2 linked regions of the Anolis sagrei genome follow. The protein of the gene in region 2 interacts with the protein of the main gene of each other region in a pairwise test. Links are inferred from orthologs where the notes say so. Each region holds a gene or a part of one and is shown on either strand. Other genes may lie near its edges.

What was found.
Region 1: the proteins of BMX (region 2) and PTPN21 interact in binary tests that used the Homo sapiens proteins (3 or more experiments, as listed by UniProt). The link is inferred for Anolis sagrei from reciprocal best matches to the Homo sapiens genes BMX and PTPN21.

What each region holds. Positions count from the first base shown.
Region 1 is NC_090021.1:313,895,590-313,906,577, forward strand, and holds the start of PTPN21 (tyrosine-protein phosphatase non-receptor type 21), read right to left. Parts: upstream 4,688-10,988; 5' UTR 4,131-4,687; intron 1-4,130.
Region 2 is NC_090023.1:90,746,309-90,756,635, forward strand, and holds the start of BMX (cytoplasmic tyrosine-protein kinase BMX), read right to left. Parts: upstream 4,849-10,327; coding exon 4,643-4,848; intron 3,319-4,642; coding exon 3,256-3,318; intron 2,234-3,255; coding exon 2,186-2,233; intron 913-2,185; coding exon 858-912; intron 1-857. UniProt on the Homo sapiens protein: Non-receptor tyrosine kinase that plays central but diverse modulatory roles in various signaling processes involved in the regulation of actin reorganization, cell migration, cell proliferation and survival, cell adhesion, and apoptosis.

The sequences.
Region 1 (10,988 bases), on a different chromosome or scaffold from region 2:
AAACAAAACATTATATGTCTGCCTCAAAGTACATAACACAGGCAGTTTACTCATTAGTAGGAGTGTACATGATTTCAGGCTCAAACAAACCTCATATGTGACATTTTAGAAACACTTACGTTCTACCTTTAATAATCAAGATACTATTATTTATTATTATTTATTTACCCTATTTATACCCTGTCTTCCTCAACTCAAGGCATCTCACATATATAGGCAACGATTTGATGCCATGTAAACATTCATATATAATAAAATAAGCATATAAATTAAAGCAATCATTAAAAACATATCAAGCCTGAAAACAGCCTTAAAAGTACTTAATTTTGGCTAGATTGTGCCCATTAACAGATTCATTATTGGGCTGACATCTTGTTCATTAGTCCAAATAGAGGAAACCTATTCAATCCAATCTTTAGTGATGAGTCAACACATGGTTAAATCTAATGAATTCAGTAGGTCTATTCTAGTTAGGACTAAATGAGAATTCAGGCCTTAGATTCCCTGTTTCGGCATCATAATATTAAACACTTGATTAATGCATACGCATATATTTGCTTTCCTGACATGTTTTTACTTTCTAGTTTTTTTCCCCTCAGAGTTCTTTAGTGAGAGTCTGGAACATAGGACCAACTCTCTTTGAAAACTACACATGCAGCATATATATTATGTCATATTTAAATCCATTTGTAAGAAGCCAATTAGAAAATGTCCGGGGGTGAAATAATGCTTCAAACCTATTCAACAAGTTTTCATGCTGGCCAAGCACAATTCTTGCAAACACAGCACAGTTTTGTTTAGCAGTTGTTATTTTCTGCCAGCAGCTGCCATCCAGGTCCCCCACTCCGCCGCACACGCCTCTTTCAAAATAATGTCTATCCCTGCGATTAAGGGAGTTTGCAGCCGGTAAGAGGATAGTACTGAAGTGGCAAGAGTAGCAAATCCAATCAACTGCGTGTTGGAAACATAATTACCTATTTGGCACACCCAGAACTTTTTAGATGTTATGTTCTGATTTAGCCCTAGTCATTTTAATAAATGGAATATGCAATTGTCCCAATGTAGCTTCCACTAACTGTCTTCTCAGACTGCTCAGAAAAACGATATATTGCTGTAGTATAAGGGATAGAAACAATTGCTGTTCTCCATTCTTTGGGGTTCATAATTAGACTTCACTGATCTGCTTCTTTTAAGGTAGGCACAAATAAACATTTGTGTTATCAATCAAGGCCTTTAAATGGCTCAGGGGAAATATTAATGCTTTTCCTTCATGCTTTGAGTCCTCTTGGGAAGAAAGGCAGAATATAAATGAAGTATTATTATTATTATTTATTCTTTTCTGGAAAGAAAAGTGGCCTTAAAAGGAAAAAATATTCTTACCTGAACATTATTTAAATATTAATTGTCCCAATTACAAAGAGATCTTCAACTGTAATGTTTTGAATATCACATGCCATTTACAAGAGCTTTTAGCATCATAACTAATATCAAGTATTCAACTAGCACACATATGCATAGAGCATGCTGTAAAATATCCCCTGTAAAATATCTCAAACCCTATTCAAATCTTGATAAAGGATCTAAACAAAGACAGACTAATCTCTCTCTAAAGAGCTAAAGTCATCATTAGTTAGTTCGGGAGAGGGACAATGTTCTATACAGTTCAACCAAAGTCTAGCAATCAGAAATGAGCTGACTTGGAAGAACGGGGCGCATCTATTCTACACTGTCGATTTAATGCAGTTTGATACCAGCTTAAGTGCCATGGCTCAAGGCTCCAGAATCCTGAGATTTGCAGTTTGGCCCCAGTGCTCTTGAACAGAGAAGGCTACAGATCTTATAAACCAAAAGAAGCCAAATGATGAGGAAAAAGCCTAAATATATCTCCATCTGTTGTCTGTCTTGTCATTGAATGCCACATGTGTGTTCTGCGATCCACCCTGAGTCCCCTTCGGGGTGAGAAGGGTGGAATATAAGTATTGTAAATACATAAATAAATAAATAACTCGCATTATTCCATAGTATTGAGCCATGGCAGTTAAAATGGTGTCAAACTGCTATCATTGGACAGTGGGGATGCACCTTGGAATAGGGAGAAGATGTGGACAAATCATCTTTTATCCCACATCACACAGCATACTGCAATTCCCTTTGCAACTCCATATGTTACAGAGCTCCATGCAGTCATGCCAGCCACATGACCTTGGAGGTGTCTATGCTGGCTCTCTGGCTTAGAAATGGAGATGAGGACCAACCCTCAGAGTTGGACATGGCTGGACTTGTCAGGGGATGTTATCACCTACAAAGCCCTAAATGGTTCGGGACCTGCCTATCTTTGCGATTGTATCTTCCCCTACAAACCTGCGTGGGCTTGAAGACCTTCTGGGAAGGCCCTTCTCTCTCTTCCACCTCTGTCACAAGCGTGGTTGGTGGGGACAAGGGAGAGGGCCTTCTCAGTGGTGGCCCCCTGGCCCTGGAACTCTCTCCCAAGGGAGATTAGTCTGGCACCCACCCTGTCCACTTTTCTCAAAGACCTAAAAACATGGATGTTTTGCAAAGACCTAAAAACGTAGATGCATTTGACTAAACGGTTCATTAGATAATTCTGCCCCCTCAACCATACTTTAATAATTGGCCCCTGCACTTTACTACCGTCCCTTGTATATAGTATTCTGATACTTCTCTTCCAGACCTAATTTACCACCTGGCTCCTGCACTTTTTCCAACTGCCCTGCCCTTACAACTTTATTGCACAAGCCCCTCCCCACCCATTTTTTAGCATCTGATTATTCTGTCAGGCTGCGTTGTTGTAGGTTTTTTGGGCTATGAGTCCCTTCAGGGAGATGGTGGCAGGATATAAAAATATTTTTTTCAATTATGTATTTATTGTATCAGGAGCTAACCAAGGGTACAGCTGTAATGCATTTAAAAAAACACAAAGTTTAAAAACTTGGCAATTATATTAAATGTCTTTTGACCAGTAGCTGACCACTTGGAGTGCCTCTGGTGTTGCTATAAGGAGGTCCTCCATTGTGCATGTGGCAGGGCCCTGACTGCATTGTAAGTTAGTATTATTATTATTATTATTATTATTAAAGATATGAATCATGTGGTTATTTCCATACTATGGGTTAAACCGCTGAGCTGCTGAACTTGCTGACCAAAAGGTTGCACGTTTGAATCTGGGTAGTGGCATGAGCTCCCGCTGTTAGCCTCAGATTCTGCCAACCTAGCAGTTTGAAAACATGCAAATGTGAGTAGATCAATAGGTACCACTCCAGCCGTATTGATCTACTCACTGAATGTGAACACAGATATAATTCCACTGGGCAAAGAGTCGAAGGAGGAGGGCAAAGAGGAGGGAACGAAAAGGAGGCAACGCTTTGTTGTAACGATGCTCCATGCAGTCATGCTGGTCACATGGCCTTGGAGGTGTCTACGGACAATGCTGGCTCTTCAGCTTAGAAATTGAGATGAGCACCAACTCTCAAAGTTGGACGCAACTGGACTTAATGTCAGGGGAAAACCTTTACCTTTACCTATGCACTCTCAAAACAATGCCAGCCAGACAAGCCCACCTGCTAGTAGGGATGCAGTGGTTCTCAACCTGGGATCCCCAGATGTTTTTTGCCTACAACTCCCAGAAATCCCAGCCAGTTGACCAGCTGTTAGGATTTCTGGGAGTTGCAAGGTCAAAAACATCTGGGGACCCCAGGTTGAGAACCATTGGACTAGAGAGAGATCCCTGATCAGCCCCTTTTCTGGTAGACACGGCTCCTATATTTCAGAACTAGTGGGGAAATAAGATCTGGGAATACATAACACGTATTTATTGAAAGGAAAATTAAAAACAATTCCCTCCCGTTTCAGAAATGACCACACAAAGGGTGTGTTTACACTACAGACTTCATGCAGTTTGGCCCCACTTTAACTGCCAGCGATCAATGTTATGGCAGAACGGGAGCTGTACCTTTACAAGGTCTTGATCCTTGCCTGCCCAAGAGTGCTGGAGCTCCACCAAACTCCCAGGTTTCAGTAGCCTTGAGCCAGGGCAGTTAAGTGGCTCCAAACTACAGTGTGGAAGCCCCCAAAGACAAGCACAGGCCACGTCAGTTTCGCTTTGTGTTTACCTGTTGCAGTCCTCCCAGGCAATCCCAGGGTCTCCTTCGGCGCAGCTTGGGGCGCTCTCCAGGTCAAGCCATGTCATGGCTCTCAGGGGGCGGGGAAGGCGGGTGGGGGGCCAGAAAGGAGCCCTTCGGAAGTCCCCTGGTTTAGTCTCCCCCCCTGGACTCCTGCCTTGGCTTCTCCTTCTTCTCAACAGGCAAACATTCCTCTCTTCCTGCGGCAACAACAACAACAACAGGAGGAAAAACCGAACGTGTGGACGGAGATGATTCCTCTGGGGAAAGAGTCAGAGTCAGAGGAGGGAAGGAGGAGGAGGAGGAGGCGACGCTTTGTTGTGACAGAAAAAGGCGAGCGGCTCAAGGCGCAACCAGGCACGCTCGGACCGCCTCTCCAGCTCGTCGCAGGGTTTCTTCTCCTTCTTTCTTTCTTCCTTCTCCTCTTTCTCTCTCTCTCTTTCTCTCTCTCTGTCTCTCCCCCTTGAGAGGCGTTCCCTTGGGCTCCAGCCATGCGGAAGGATACGGGGCGAGGGAAGCCAAGGACTGCCCTCTCTGTTTGCAGCGCCATGACCTCAGAGGTCTGGAATGCCTGGCAGCGGGAATGTCAGCAATGGGACAGCTGCGCACAGAGCCAGAGCCAGAGCCAGGCCAGCAGGCAAGCATGGCAGCAAAGGGAAGGAAAGGGAAAGGGAAGGGAGGGTTATTCTCTAAATACAATTGTTGCCTCGGTCGGTGGCTACTTCTCTAGGTCGGTGGCACGCCTTCAAGGCTTCTCTGAACTTTGCCAGGTCTCAAGGAGTGACTTGAAGAAACTTTTTCCATTCGCGACCCCTTTCCACCTGTGGCAAGCATATGTAGCTGGGGGGGGGGGGGGGGGGGGTTTGATGGGCTTCAGCCCCCCCCCCCCAAATTCAAATTCTCATGGTGGTTCGCGAAAAGGCCTTACTGGTGCATTATTTAAACTGTTATGTTTATTCATATCATGATCTGATCACCCTACTCAATATATCCCATATGCTACGGGCCTGCTGGTACTTTATTTAAACTGTTTATTTCATATATATTTCATATACGAGGGGTATTTTTTAAGTAAGGTCCGTTGGAACATAAGTACACAACGAAAGTTTATTTCAAAAAAGTCAATTTATTTTCAGAAAGTACATACGTCGCTCTATTTTTCAACATAGTTGCCAAGTTTGTTCAAACACTTATCATACCTCTGAACCAATTTTAAAATACCCGCTTCACAGGCATGTAGCCGGGGGGGGGGGGGGGCTTAAGGGGCTTCAGCCCCCCCTCCCCAAAATTCTCATGGTGGTTTGCAAAAAGGCCTTACTGGTGCATTATTTAAACTGTTATGTTTATTCATATCGTGATCTGATCACCATACTCCGTATATCCCATATGCATGGGGGTATTGGGGTAATGATACAAAAGGTTTGCTAGGCTAGACCCTCTTTCACTCAGACTCAGCCCCCCCCCCAAAACTCAGCCCCCCCAAAACCCACCCTGAAAAAAACTCAGCCCCCCCCCCCCCAAATTGAAATCCTGGCTACGGGCCTGCCTCTTCACAAATCCTCGCTTCAACTGAAGCCACCAAATCGGCTGTAATCAAAGAAGTGCAACCAGAGCGGTCCTCATCAAGGATGTTGTTATGGCCATCTTTGAATTGTCGTACCCACTTACGCACTTTGCTTTCACTCATAACAGTATCACCGTACACTTCACAAATCTGTCGATGAATTTCTGCAGCAGGCAGGTTCCTTGCTGACAAAAACCGTATCACTGAGCAAACCTCACATGCGGAGGGTGAGTTGAGAGTCTTAAACATTTTTAAAGCACAGAACAGAACCGTACAGGTTAGCTACAGAGCAGAAACTGAGCACAGTTGTTCCCGAGGCATGCCAGTACACGACGCACATGCTCATTGTGGTATGCATGCGAACTACTAGTGTCTACAACAAAACGGACATTAATTAAAAAATACCCCTTGTATTTATATCCCGCCCTTCTCCCCACAAGGGGGACTCAGTGTAGCCTCACATGAGCATCAGAGGATGCTAACAGCATAAATACCATAAAAATTACAATTCACAATAAAAATCATTTTAAAACATTGTACAACATCATCAGTAAATTTTAACAATAAATTAATAGATTAACGTGCCAGTAAAACCAAGCCGAGCCGGGAGAATCCATTTCGCAAAATCCAAATTTTCTTTTCCTATTGCCACTGGCCTCTAATGGAACATCTGGATGGAGGTGGCCAAACTGTTACGTTTATTCGTATCATGATCTGATCACCATGCTCAATATATCCCATATGCATGGGGGTATTGGGATAACAACACAAAACGTTTGCTAGGGTAAATCCTCAGCCCCTCCCCCCAATCAAAATCCTGGCTACGGGCCTAACCTGTGGAATTTATATCTATATCTATCTATTTCAGGGGTCCCCAAACTAAGGCCCAGGGGCCGGATGCAGCCCTCCAAGGTCCTTTACCCAGCTTTCACTCAGGGTCAACCTAAGTCTGAAACAACTTGAAAGCACACAACAACAACAATCCTATCTCATCAGCCAAAAGCAGGCTCACACTTCCCATTGAAATAGTAATAAGTTTATATTTGTTAAAATTGTTCTTCATTTGAATTATTGTATTGTTTTAAGTATTTTTGCACTACAAATAAGATATTGCAGTGTGCATAGGAATTCATTTGTTTTTTCTTCTTCTTCAAATTATAATCTAGCCCTCCAATAGCTTGAGGGACTGTGACCTGGCCCTCTGTTTAAAAAGTATGAGGACCCCTGATCTATATAAATAAAAATGTGGGATTAACATAATTCAAAAACCACTGGATGAATTGACATGAAATTTGGATGCTACACCCCTAACCCAATCTTGATAAAATAGTGAAGAGACAAAACACTGGCAACGAAGATCCGCCTAGTAAAAGCAATGGCATTCCCCATAGTAACCTACGGATGTGGGAGCTGGACCATAGGGAAGGCTGAGAGAAGGAAGAAAGATGCTTTTGAGCTGTGGTGTTGGAGGAAAGTTCTGAGAGTACCTTGGACCACAAGAAGATCCAACCAGTCCATACTTCAGAAAATAAAGCCCAACTGCTCATTGGAGGGAAGGATAGTAGAGGCAAAGATGAAGTACTTTGGCCACATCATGAGAAGAAAGGAAAGCTTAGAGAAGACAATGATGCTGGGGAAAATTGAAGGAAAAAGGAAGAAGGGCTGACCAAGGGCAAGATGGATGGATGGTATCCTTGAAGTGACTGGCTTGACCTTGAAGGAGCTGGGGGTGGTGACGGCTGACAGGGAGCTCTGGCGTGGACTGGTCCATGAGGTCATGAAGAGTTGGAAGCGACTGAACAAATTAACAACAAATTGGAGAGAGTGCTTTTGCTGTGCAGATGTGATGTGGCAGCTTTAAAAAACCAATGTGATTCTAGGTGGCATCAATAGGAGTATAGTGTTGAGATCGAAGGAAGTCATAGTCTCGTTCTATTCTGCTTTGTTCATACCTCACCTGGAATAACACTGTGTCCAGTTCTGTTCACTACAACCAAGGTTCAAAAGCCAAGCCGAGGAGTGGCTCAGGGAGCTGGGTATGTTTAACCTGGAGAAAAGAAGACTGAGAGGAGACTTAATAACTTGTCTAAATACTTGAAATAATGTCATATTGAGGAGGGGGACAACCTGGGCTTGGAGTGAAACCACTCACACATCAAAGCCCTTCCTTCCAGTATCTTATTGCTGGATATCAAAATTAGAATATGTAACTAATAGCAAAAATTACTATCATGTATGATAAATCCACTTAGAATTTTCTATGCTGAGCACTGGAATTATTTTGAAACTCCTATAACTTGAAAAGAGAAAGGGAGATTGTGAGTACAGTCATGACTAAACTTTTATCTGAATGTGATGAAAGTTCTAAAAGTACTGATGTCAGTTGTTTATTAAGTTAAAGTGAAAATCAACACTTGTAGCAACTGAGCATTGGTGTAAAACCAAGGGTGGCAAACTTAGCAGCTAGCAGACAGTTTTCTATTCTGGGACCTTCTGGAGCTGGCAAAATAGAAGTGGCTAGAGACTAGCAGTTTGAAAACATGCAAATGTGAGTAGATCAATAGGTACCACTCAGGCAGGAAGATAATGGCACTCTATGCAGTCATGCTGGCCACATGACCTAGGAGGTGTCTATGAATAACAACGGCTCTTCGGCTTAGCACCACCCCTCAGAATCGGACTCAACTAGACTTAATGTCAAGGGGAAACTTTTACCTTTGTCTAGCGACTTCTGATTTTGAATAAAATGCTTTTTTTTGTACATTGGCATTTATGGGAGTTTCTGTGAGAGATACTTCACCTATGAAAATGTGCAGCACCAAGGATGGCCTTTGGCCAGCTCTTGTGGTTGCAATAAATATCTAGTCTTCTATAAATCTATCCCACACATTGTGCTCTAAAGTCCAAGAAAAATTTATGATATGCCAGAAGTTTACACTGAGAAGAATTCTTGTTCTCTTTTTGTACCCAACAAACCTCAATAGATACCAGCAGACAGTGAGCAGGCGTAATATAATAGCTGAGTGTTGAACTTTGAGACCAGCCACACTGCAGAATTATAGCAATTTGACACCACTTTGACTGCCAAGGCTCCACCTGGTGGAAACCTGGGATCTGATATGGCATTAATGATCTCTGACAGAGAAGGTTAAACATCTCACAAACCTACAAATCCCAGCATTCCATAAATTTGAGCTATAGCAGTTAATGTGTTAAACTGCTGTAATTCCACAATGTTGATACAGCCAAAAGGCACATCTATCTTGGACACTTAGGTCAGAGCTTGTAGAAGAGGGACCAGCCATTGCGGAAGACTAATGGGCCACACTAGCCATCCCAGAGATCTTGGAAATGCACTTCACAGAAATAATTTTTGGGCATTTAAAAGCAAAACCAAACCAATAACAACCCATTCCTAGCAGTTTGAGAGGTGGGTGCACATGCAGCTCATGTCCAGGTTTGCTTTTTTCAGGATGGATCTGCATTCGTTCTTCTTCCCTATTTTTTGCATATTTATTGTTATGTGGCTTCCAGTAATTTCCAAATTATGAGAACCCTAAGAAAAACCTATCACATGGTTTTCTTTGCAGGATTTCTTGAAAGGAAAGTTTGTGCTTACCTTCCTCTGAGGCTGAGAGAATGTGCTTTGGCCAGGTTTTTCCATGGCCAAGCAGCCTCAAGAGTTGAAATCCAATACTAGCATCACTACACGATCCTGTATATTTTGAGTATGTACATAGTCCTCCTTTCTACAGATAGTCCATCTACTTTCTCTGACTCTCTCCCATTCCCTCTCTATCACACTCACAACACACATCCCCCCCTCCCACGCACAACAGATTTATTCCCCCTGACTCCCTTCACCAACAGAGCATAACATTTTACCAACTAAGCGCTTGCAGCTTAGTTGGAGTATCGGTGCAGGATTGCTCCACCCGACTCATTCCCTACTCTCTCAGGTGTTAATACCTGTCTAACCTCTTCCACAGTGAATGCCAAAGTAATCAACTTCTTCAGGCTCTTTGTAGTCTCTTTAACTTTTTTTAGCTACCCTTTCATTCTTTTGTCATGTAGCATTTCAGCTGCCTCCCTGGCTGTTTTCCTAGTTCTTATATTTGTAGGATTTTTAATTGCTTATCCCAATTTTTTCAGCAATATGCTTCTCAAATGATGTTTTCACATTTGTTCTTGATGGTTTGCTTGTTAGATTTTGGGCTTCTCCCTTTTCAAATATAAAGATTTCAGTTAAAATGGCATCACATTAGAACCACTATTCCAAAATGTAAAACAGTGGTGGGCAACTACAAAAGGAACAGGTTTCTATCCTATGACACTTGAGGCTATCCATACTAATAAAAATGCCCCCAAAATGAAGAATGAAGTGGTTGGATGTCCAATTTTTAAATAATATTAAATAATTGGGGGATATAGTTTATTAATGTATTTAATTCTAGATTTAATTAAAGTAGGTGGGTAATAAAAAAAATAGTAGTAGCAGCAGCAACCACCACCCTTTTTTGTCCAGAAAAAGCCTCATCCAAGGAACTGGAGGGGTTAACAGCCACAAAAGCAGCCTTAGTGGGGACTCAGCTGACCCCCAAATTGTATTTTTCTCTCTCTCGTTTTAAAAGAAGACTTCTTTTCTTTTACAGTTTTCCAAACAAACCAAAAACTAGCATCATTTGGAATTAGGTTAGCAAGAAGTATTTAGAATTCTTAGCCAGAGAGTTCTAGTGCCTCCCAAACTACAAATCCCATCAGATGCAGCAGGAGCTCCCCGTGGTACAATGGATTAAACCCTTGTGCCAGCAAGGCTGCTGATTGAAAGGTTGGTGATTTGAATCTAGTGAGCGGGGTGAGCTCCCATCTGTCAGCTCCAGCTTTTCCAGCAGGGATATGAGAGAAGCCTGCCACAGGATGGTAAAATATCTGGGTTTCCCCTGGGCAACATCCTTGCAGACAGCCAATTCTCTCACACCAGAAGTCGCTTGCAGTTCCTCAAGTCACTCCTGACATGAAAAAAAAATCAGACACAACGATAGTAATTCAAGTGGAATAATTGTAGTATAAATATGTTACAAAAAGGCACTAGCTTTCACTTCTTACAAGCAGTTTTAGTGTTAAGAGATTTAACAGCATTGTAGTGAAGGTGATGCGACTTTTTGATTAGCAGGAACAATAGGAATGCAAGAAGCTACTTTCACCATTAGTCCATCTATTTTAATGTTGTTGGCTGTGACCAGCAGCAAGTATCAAAGCCTTCAGGTAGGATTATTTCTATTATT
Region 2 (10,327 bases):
TCCTTACTATAAAAGCATTCAATTTAGTAACACTTCACCCAAGTATTCCTATAACTTTGTTACACTTTCCAGTGGAAAAGTGGAAACAGTGCCTTTTTCTCTCACACACACCCTGAGGGAGTGGGCTCTCTCTTTTCTTTGTTTCTATAAGCAATCCGAATCAGCGACAAGGACGATCAGGCTTCTAATCACTGTGAAAACAGTGCTTTTTCTTCTCTCACACCCCCTTTGCAGGGAGTGGGCTCTCTCTTATAACTTTCTATAAGCAATTTGAATTGGCTACAAGCCGATCAGGATCCTAATCACTGTGATGGCACACCAGGAAGATCTAATGAGAAACCTAAATGTGTCTGGCTATTTTCCCAGTGACCATCGATATGCCCTAATTACTATAACTCCCCCAAAATAAAACTCTACAAACAAGAATAAGTTTAACAATAGTTTACTAAATAATCAAGGTAAATTACAACAATGTACAAAGGTGAAGATTGATTATGATAATATAACTCTGAGGTAACGAATTACTATTTCTATATTACTATATTAATGCAGATGAAAATACCATGCAAATGACATTTAAAGTACAAATGAAACATGGGCACAATGAAAGCTATTTACAATCAGATACCCCCATGAAACTGGCTTGAAAGGATTTCAAATGGAATAGCATGGCATAAGGGTGTTATAAGGTTGTAAGAACCACCAACCTTAGCAAAATTCAAAATGAATCCTAACTGAAACCTTCCAATTGTCATCACTTTCCAATATTGTACTTTGTAATTCCAGGAAGCGGTAGGTAAGCAAGCAGAACCAATGCAGAAACTGATTTTAAAAATCCACATGTATTTAAATACTACCTTCTCTTGCAGCAGTTGTTCTGTCTGGGCCCTTGAAAGACGACCAACATACCAACTGCAACAAAAGAGATAGCTAACTTATTATTTTTGAGACAGTTAATGATTTTGAAATAACATCTGAAATTGAATTAGAGAGCCTACTAAAAAAATCTGTTAATTAAATCAGGTAGCACATAAAAGCAAGTTAAAAATCTAAAACCTGCCTATTAATATCACGGGACATGGGATTTCTAAAGATATATTTTGAGGAAAGCTTTACTCCTAAATAAAGACTGTGCTGGAAATCATACAAAACAGAATACTCTTGTCACAATCACAACAAGAGATGAGTACAGAAGCATCTGTTTAATGGAAGAAACCAAATGTTATTTTCTTTCTTTCTTTCTTTCTTTCTTTCTTTCTTTCTTTCTTTCTTATAATACTGGCACTAAGAATACCAGGTACATCACAATTATATGCATGTTTTCACAATAATAAGTCCCACTATAACAGCTTCTAGGACTGCAAAGTGTTGAAGTTGTTTGCAATTTATAATGTAGATTTCAAAGTATGTATGCATGTACAGTATCTTTAAAATGCAGTAGTTATGTGCCGAGTGTAATATATTCCTGTGTGGAAAGAGTTAACTGAACCATGGAGGGAATGGCATTCCTAGAGAGGTCAGAAATCAAGTGTATAAACAAATGGACACAGCGTCGTATGTCCTACATCACTTTGAAATGCAAGAGGTGTGGACTAGTACTGACAACGGTTAGTGAGTTTGCAATGTTACGATCAGAAGGAAAAGAAGCAAGTTTTTGATGTGCTGAGTGTTAAGTAGCTTCTAATGTTTATAGCTGTAAAATGAAGTAGTTTATAGCCTAAAGTGGCTGTGATTGATCTGTCCCTGCCTTGCTGTGCTGCCTATGCCACTGACACAAAGTTCCATGTTACAGATTTCTGGGCTTTAAATAGCCTCTTTATCTTTGATTTGGAGTAACTGTAGGTTATGAGTCAGATGAAGAACTTCCTTAGGTCGTTTACTAGCTGATTCTGGATTAATTACTTTCTTTCTAACCCTACTCAAAGAATTGGTGCAATATTTAAAAGAAGGATGCGATATCTAAATGCATTAAATAATAACAAGAACATCATATAATGGAATCAGTATGCAATAGTATGCTGATAGTATCATCAATGCAATGCACAGACCTTGCAGGTAAAACTATAATAACTTGCAAATATTCATTTTTGTGGTAATGAACACCTTGCAGTGGACACTCAAATACTGCCACTGTATTTTATGAGCTATAATTCCAATATTCAACTACATCCAATGGTCTCCTTACTTATATTTATCAAAGCTGTCTTCCATTTCAGTTGCCTCAGTGGTTCCTCTGCAAACAAAAAAAGGCATGTTGGCTTTTATCATCACTTTTATTGCTGAGCCATAGTATGTTCAACACTACTAAAGAAGCTACACAACAATTTTATAGAATTAAAAGTTATGGCTTTGTTAGTCTGGATCAGTATGCAAAGAGATTTTGTAGCACCTTTGACATTAACTAAAAGAAGTTAGTAGTATAAGCTTTCATAGATAAATAGTGTGTTGTTCACACCATATAGTTTAGCATGGTACAAATCTGCCCATGGAGTAGCCTTGGATTCAGCACTTATGTAGGACCCCCTGTGGTGTAATGGGTTAAACTTTTGTGCCAGCAGGACTGCTGACCAAAAGGTCGGCAGTTTGAATCCAGGGAGTGGGGTGGGCACCTGTCTGTCAGCTCCAGCTTCTTATGCAGGGACATGAGAGAAGCCTCCCACAGGATGATAAAACATCCGGGAGTCCCCTGGGCAACGTCCTTGCAGACGGCCCTTTTTTATCTCACCAGAAGCGACTTGCAGTTTCTCAAGTCACTCCTGACACGAATAAAAAGCACTTATGTGGAGGCATCTAGTTTCCTAAGCAATGGAACCTGAGCAAAGAATATTAGATGAACCAATATGTAATCATTACAGATAAGCATGCTAGAGAGTTGCTACGACAACAGTATCTATGAAAGTGTAATATCTGACTTGCCATATGACAATGAATTGACGCTTTACATGAAATACAGTATAACTTAATGAAAGCAATGTGACCAGCCATTGCCATGCCTGTGTTTCTTTGTAATAAGTCTATATACATTTGCATATACTTATTAGCCTACCAACTAACAGAGAGCTTGCTCATTCTCCCATACAATTATCTTGAGATTCAAATGCTTATTAACACTTAAGTGAAATGTTAGTACTAAGCCTGTCTGTCTGGATTTCACCAATGTCACTAGTTAGGCACCTAGGTGGCCAAAAGGTGATAAGTTTCCCCTTCTGTTGTATCCTATGCTTAATGTAACAAAATGGCTGGAATACAGCTTACCTTAATTCATCGGTGGTCTGAGATATCATCTTCAGATAAGTATGTGGAACAAAGCCTTCATTACTGTAAATGAAAAATACATTTTTTAAAAATACAGGAAGTCCCCAAGTTACAAACAAGATCATTTATGTAGGTTTGTTCTTAAGTTGAATTAGTATGTAAGTTGGAAGAGGTATGCTTTTTAAGTGTAACCCCAGCTATATATGTGTGCTCGTGTGTGTGCGTGCACACACATGCTTTGGATAACACAGAGAAGGGATAACACTGCTGTGGTGTTTCTTTTGCTGCCTATGACCTTGCTCAGAAGATTTTAGAAGATTTCACCACAATTTCTGTCACTGTGAGCACTAGATTTTGAAAAATATGGCTTGTTCTGGAAGCAAAGATTGGTGAGAAAGCTTCAGTGGAGACACATTTTCCTCATGATAACTTCCTGTTGTCTCACTCCTGTTCTTAACAATGAGTCGTTTGTGACTTGGGGACTGCCTGCAAAGGATTACACACACACACACACAAACACAAACACACATGATATTCTCAAAAAAGCAAGATAAAATAGAGGAGGGAGGAAGAAATTTGATTTTATACGTTTATCACAATGCAGGATGATCAACATTGACTTTCCATTTACACTAATGAGGGACCATTGTCAAGACTAGAATAAAGATTAAAGATCAATAATATCTTTTTTTGGGGGGGGGGGGGCGTGATCTTATTGCTACACTCTGTATGAGAATGGTAATAATCTTTGCCATATTTTTTCCTGCTGTTAACATTTCTGCCAGGATGGGGGTAAATAGTTTATGAAAACTTTGGTATGTCAGCAGGTGCCTTAAATGGACAATAAGCTCATCCTTTCCCCAATAAGGCATTCATAGTCCACTTGTACATACAGTTATTATTCATCTCACTTGTGTTTTCAACCCTTCCTCTGCAGAGCCTATAGCAGTATACATGGGAATGTATATTTTGTTAGCCTGATAACCACATGAGATAGGTTAACAAAGACCCCTTCTACACTTACATATAAAATCCAGATTATCTAATTTGAACTGGGTTATATGGCAGTGTAGAAAGGGCCTAAGAGTGATCTTGCATGAACCATCCTCAGTTTTACAATTAAGATTTTAACCTATGTATTCTTGGCCCAGGTCCAGCAGCTACCCGCACAGAACAATATACCCAGAAAAAGTTCAGCTACCTAAGTACCACCTAGATTGACTCTGGCATAATTTAGACAAATTAGCAGCATATGTTTTAAATCAGAGCATTTAATTTTTCAGTAAATTTCAAGTGCAGCATGAGTGGGAAAGTTTTTTAATAGAATATGAACATTATTTCTTAGTAGTGACAAAATGACAGTAGTATTTCTGTAGCAGAAACTTACCCATCCAAATCTCTTACTCGCCACCAGTCAGGATCGTCATCTCTCAGAATATAATATTTGTGGTTTCTGACAAGCCGAACATCAGAGCTTCCTTTTGGTTCATAATTATGAACAGCTAGCGCTTCTTTCAGATATGACTTGTCAGATATTAGACCTGGTAGTTGCTGCAAAAACAAACCCAGAAAAAGGAAATAAATATACCACATCATGAATGTAAAGAAGAATTTATACCCACTTTATCATTACGTAATAATAAGAATACCAACAACAAAGCACATTTCAAGCATTCAGATCATATTAGAAACATTATTTTTGATCCAGATGGAGTCACCCTTGGAGCAGATATGTAGAAATAATTGGACCTCAGTTAGTTTGCCCAAATGCTTCACTGCATCAGTGATTTTCTAACCCTTTTTCTATTACCTTAGGCTTCTCCTGAGTTTTGTCACATCCTTACATTTACTTTACTATATATTTTTTATTAGCCAAATGTTACTGAAATGATTTTCCTGAAAAGAAATCTTAACGTTCAATTTTAAAACCCACCACACATACTGTTCAATTTGCATGAATATTAATCTCCCTCCCTCCCTCTCCCTCTCTCTCTCTCTCTCTCTCTCTACACACACACACACATTTACACACATACAGAGAGAATGAGAGAGAGTAATGTTTGTGCAAGAGTCAGTGGGGATAAACTTGGCAAATCTTAACTGATTCATTATTTAAAAAATCCTTTATTGAGTTGTGTGACCACACTTCTAGTTGTTGAAGTATGTGTTGAAAGAGTAGCAAGAATGATGAAGGGCAGAAGAGCTGCTTTCATAATTAAACAAAAGAAAGTTATCTTAACTGTGCCAGGTATATATCAAACGTGGACTAGGGCTAGGAAAGTGCTCATCAGCCATTAAAATACTGCCCTCATTCATCTCATTTGATGAATTGCCTGTACAGCCATTTTTTATTGACTGGAGGTTCTTAAAGTACCAGTACAGCATGAAATTATATTCTGATTGTTGCACTCAAAGCCGGGAAACACGTTTGTACAAGGAAGAGGAAGCACAAGGCAGCATAAAATCCAATACAAAAATCCAGGAATAATCCTTGGATGCATGAAATATGAACAAAGGCATGAAACTAGAATCCCCTTGACCAAGACTTGACAAGAGTTGTTGTCTCAATTACCAGCATTAACCAGCCTGACTAGAAAATGCCAAAAAGAAAAATGGGTTCCCCTGAAACTGTGGAGACCAAGACTAGAAAATGCCCCCGGCCTCTCTAATATAGACCAGGAAGTCATGTCTTTTCACATATGTGTCTGATACGGGCTTCTGTTGTAAAGGCACTGGGACCTTCGGAGATTCTGCTGAGCAGACTGAAGTTTATGAAAACTAAGTATCCTATCAACCAGCTCATTATCTTCCAACTCATTATTCTCTGCACCTGGGATTTCGGTCTCTGAACTCTTTTCCCTAGAGACTGGCTCCTCTGCACCATTTTGGCAACTCTCTGGAATGTGACCTTCACTAGCTGCTGGAGACACAGACTGATCATTTTCAAGACTTAAAATCTCATGTGGACTCACTGGCCCAGAGTTCCCATGATCCACGTCCACATTAACATTGGTATCAGCCACAATAATGGGCTGAACTGGCTGAACTACAACACCATTTTTTCATGGAATAATTGCTGCATTACACTTTCTTTTCCTATATGTAATTAACTCATCATTTTCCACTGTCAAACCGTATAGCCACATAGTAGCCTATCAATAACAATGACACATTTCTATGTATATGTATGTTCTCAGATATACAGCCATGACACAAACACCTACTTTATACTTGGGGGTCCATCGGCTTTCTCGCAAGTCTTGTGACCTGTAAAGGAGTCTAGGAGGAGGGAAAAGGGTAATTGCCAGCTGTGACATGGGGAGAAGGAGGGTGGAAGATAGGGCCCCTGCCCAGTGGCCCCAAACCATGTTCAGTGCAGCCACTAGATCAGACCCACTTTATGGGTCAGGGTAGGAAGTGACCCCTGCTGAACTACAATGCTGTGCAAACATCCACACACTACCATACGTAACTTGGTGAATGTATCCACATAGGGTTTGTAATAGAACAGAGTCTAATTTACATTACAGAACAGACAGCAGAACAGAAACAAGTTCTGTGTCTTTTTACTAGACTTTGGGAACTGGCCTACTTTTTGTGTTTGTGATATGCAGAATTTAGATGTAAACCCTGCACCAGGCCTCCTCTGATAAGCCAGCCATAAGTAAAGAAGCTGTCAGCTAGGTTTTGCAAATAATTGTCCTAAAACAACAGCTATTGTCATTTAAAAATAGATTTGCATCACTAAAGGTACACCCATCTGCTTAAGGTCATTCCAGGTTACCGCATTTCTCCTTGAAAATAAGTCCACCCATGGAGAAAACAAATGGATGAAAAGAAAGGCAAAGAAAGGGCTTCTCTTTTTTGTCAGGGGTCACTTGTCAGTCCAATCATTCCAGTGGCATGACTGTCCTTTGTATGGATACCAAGATTCACTGCTAAAACATTTCTCACTTACCAGTTGCCCTGGTACTGGTGGGAGCGGTTTCACTGCAGTGCTTGCACTGTGTGGGCTGGAGTCTACAGCAAAAACATGAAAGTCCGAGGTGAAATGCATATCCTACAGCAGGAGTGGGCTACGTGTGGACTTTTGACCCTACTTTTGTGGCCCCAGAAGCCCCCTCCTCAACTTCTTCCCATTTTAGAAAATCAACAATTTTTATGGGATTGTCCACAAACAATAGAGAAAACCTACAAACTACATAAAAGCACAAGAAAATACCCTCTCCCCACCCTTTCAAGCACTCCAAAATCCCATTCTATCTCCAGATATCTCTGTGCCTCTAAAATAGCAACAGGAGGTTAGAAGAAGTGTGAATGAAAAACAGAAATGTTTGGGTTTGGTATGGATGTATGTGTGTGTGTGGCCTACATGCCTGCATGTAATGTGTGCGTGGTAGCTAATTGGCCCCGGCTACCACATTGTTACTCACCCCATCCTACAGATAGGACCTAGAGGTAAGCACTGGGTATACTTTTTGACCGTTTAATTAGTATGGTATCAGTACTGGACTACCCTGGGGAAATTGTTATGGAACGCAGAATTCATTCAGAGGGACTCACAGAACTGTACGTGAACATTCACTTATAACTCTTTTTAAAAGGTCTACAGAGATACATCCTCCAGGCTGAGATCATTGGGTAAATGTGTGACCAGAACACACATCTGAAATTAGAAGGCACAGCTAGCTAGCGCTTTCAAAAATACCTTTACACACAGAACTCAGAAGAAAATTTGTTAATTGTTCAATGTGCATGTGAATATGAAACAGTAAAGACAAATAACAATGGTGCTTGAACAGAAGGTCACTCATTGGTAATTGTTTGAAGCACTTGAGATGCATCTACACTATACAATCAATGCGGTTTGACATGACTTCAACTGCCACGGCTCAATGCTATGGAAACCTGGGATCTGTTGTTTGGTGAGGCACTAACATACTTGGTCCAAGAAGATGGAATAATTTGCAAAATGGCAATACTCATTATTCTATAGCATTGAGCCATGGCAGTTAAAGTGGTCTGAAACTGCATTATTCCTACAGTGTAGATGCAGCTTTGGGCCTTGGTCTGACCCAATCGTGTTTTTTCTTTCTAGGCATGCAGAACTTATACTGGTCTCCCCAAGTCTGGTGCCCTCTAGATGTCTTACAGGCAAGGAATAGCGAGAGGCAGAGTCTAGCAAATCTGTAAAGTGTCAGGTTGGGATCGATGGCTTAAAATCACTTAATAGCCTAACTTTTTGGAGAGAAATAATATTTCAGCTATATTGTTGTCTAAGCAGCTGAGAAGAGACTTTTCATCTAACTGTACAAATTTACTATTGAGCATAAAACAGTAATGTTGTGTGCCAGGAGCCACTTCCAAAGAGCAAGATTTGCATGCAGATTATTTGTTTTGGAAATTGATCGGCTTACTCATACTTTGGTATAATAACAGGACATTGTTTGTAGCTCCTGTTACACTATCTAGGTCAGTGGTTCTCAACCTGGGGTCCCCAGATGTTTTTGGCCTACAACTCCCAGAAATCCCAGCCAGTTTACCAGCCATTAGGATTTCTGGGAGTTGAAGGCCAAAAATATCTGGGGACCCCAGGTTGAGAACCACTGATCTAGGTGAACTCCTGGAGTATCTGTTATATAATTTCATTCTGCTCTCCCACAAACACATATTACTACATTTACATAATAAGTTAATAGACCCAGGAAAACACTAGGTAACAACTCACAAGTCTGACATGTTTGTTTCATTTGTGGAATATTTATTTCAGAGGTGTGGGGAGAAAAGCTTAGTTGACAAATCAGACACAGAAGCCAGCCTCGTCTTGAGACTTGATTGCTTCACCAAAAGTGATGCTGGCATATTTAATTTTTGTAGCATTGCACTGGAGGTACCCAGTAGTTTTGGATGCAGGCAGTACAACAGCTATCAAAAGATGTCTGGCAACAGCCCCACCTCTAACCCAAGGGGTCACTGATAGTTTCAAGGATATCCCAAGAAAGCTCCTTCCAGTTCTCTCTCTCTCTCTGTCTCTCTCCCCCCCCCCCCCCAACCCCATTCTGGAGCATGAAATTCTGCCAGTTTATGTTTGCCTTGCAATGTTTACATCACAGGGAGGAAAATCCATTGGCAGGAGCCAAACACTGATTTTTTCCCTGTGCCCATCAATTTTCTTATGAAAATTCCCGTGCTTGTTAGTATGCCAAATGCAGTGGACCCAGGGACATGGTTTCTGCTCCAAAGATCATTTGGGAGCTGCAAGGACAGCCAAAACTATGGAAAATAAATGAAGAAAAAACAAAACAAAACTAGATGTAAGCACAAATAAGCGTGTATTTTTAATGTCACAAATTTAATAAGGGCCCTTCAATCTATTCTGAAGGCAAACTGCTGGTCCTGGATGCTCCCAATACAAACAAATTCACCTTTGCAAAATGAACATTCTGGGAAGTCTGGAAAGGACAAAGACTGCAAAACCAGCTTTGGGTGTACATATACACACCTAGCTCATCCCACACTAGAGTATTATCCAATTGCTCCTTTAACTTCCCAGTAAGTCTGGTTCAGATTGGTCTGCCAGATGAAAAGGAATGATCCTTCATCTTACTGTCAATCTGACTGAAACTCGCAATAAAATGTCGAGCGCATAACATGGTGAAAAACATCAAAGAATAGTTAATTATAACGAAGATGTATTACCTGCAGTTGCATGCAATTACTGTTATGTTGGAAATAGCATGAAAAAGCTCTCATTTCCAATGGTGGTTCACAAAAAAAAAAAAGACACAAGGGTAATACATTACATTTTTCCCATATTGTGCATCCAGGAGCTGCTTTGCAAGTTTGATTGCAGCACAGAAACTTCCCATTTGAAAAGAAGCCATTGTGGTATTTGTTTAGTAAATCCATGTTATCTTTAATCTCTAGAAAAGATGAGGGTTGAGGAGAATAAGAAATTGAAAATCTTCATTCCTACAAAATAGTCATCTGTTCTTGTTATTCCTCTTCCTTCACCAAGTCCATTACAAACCCTAACATGTGACCTTGCAATAACCAACAGAATATCACACAG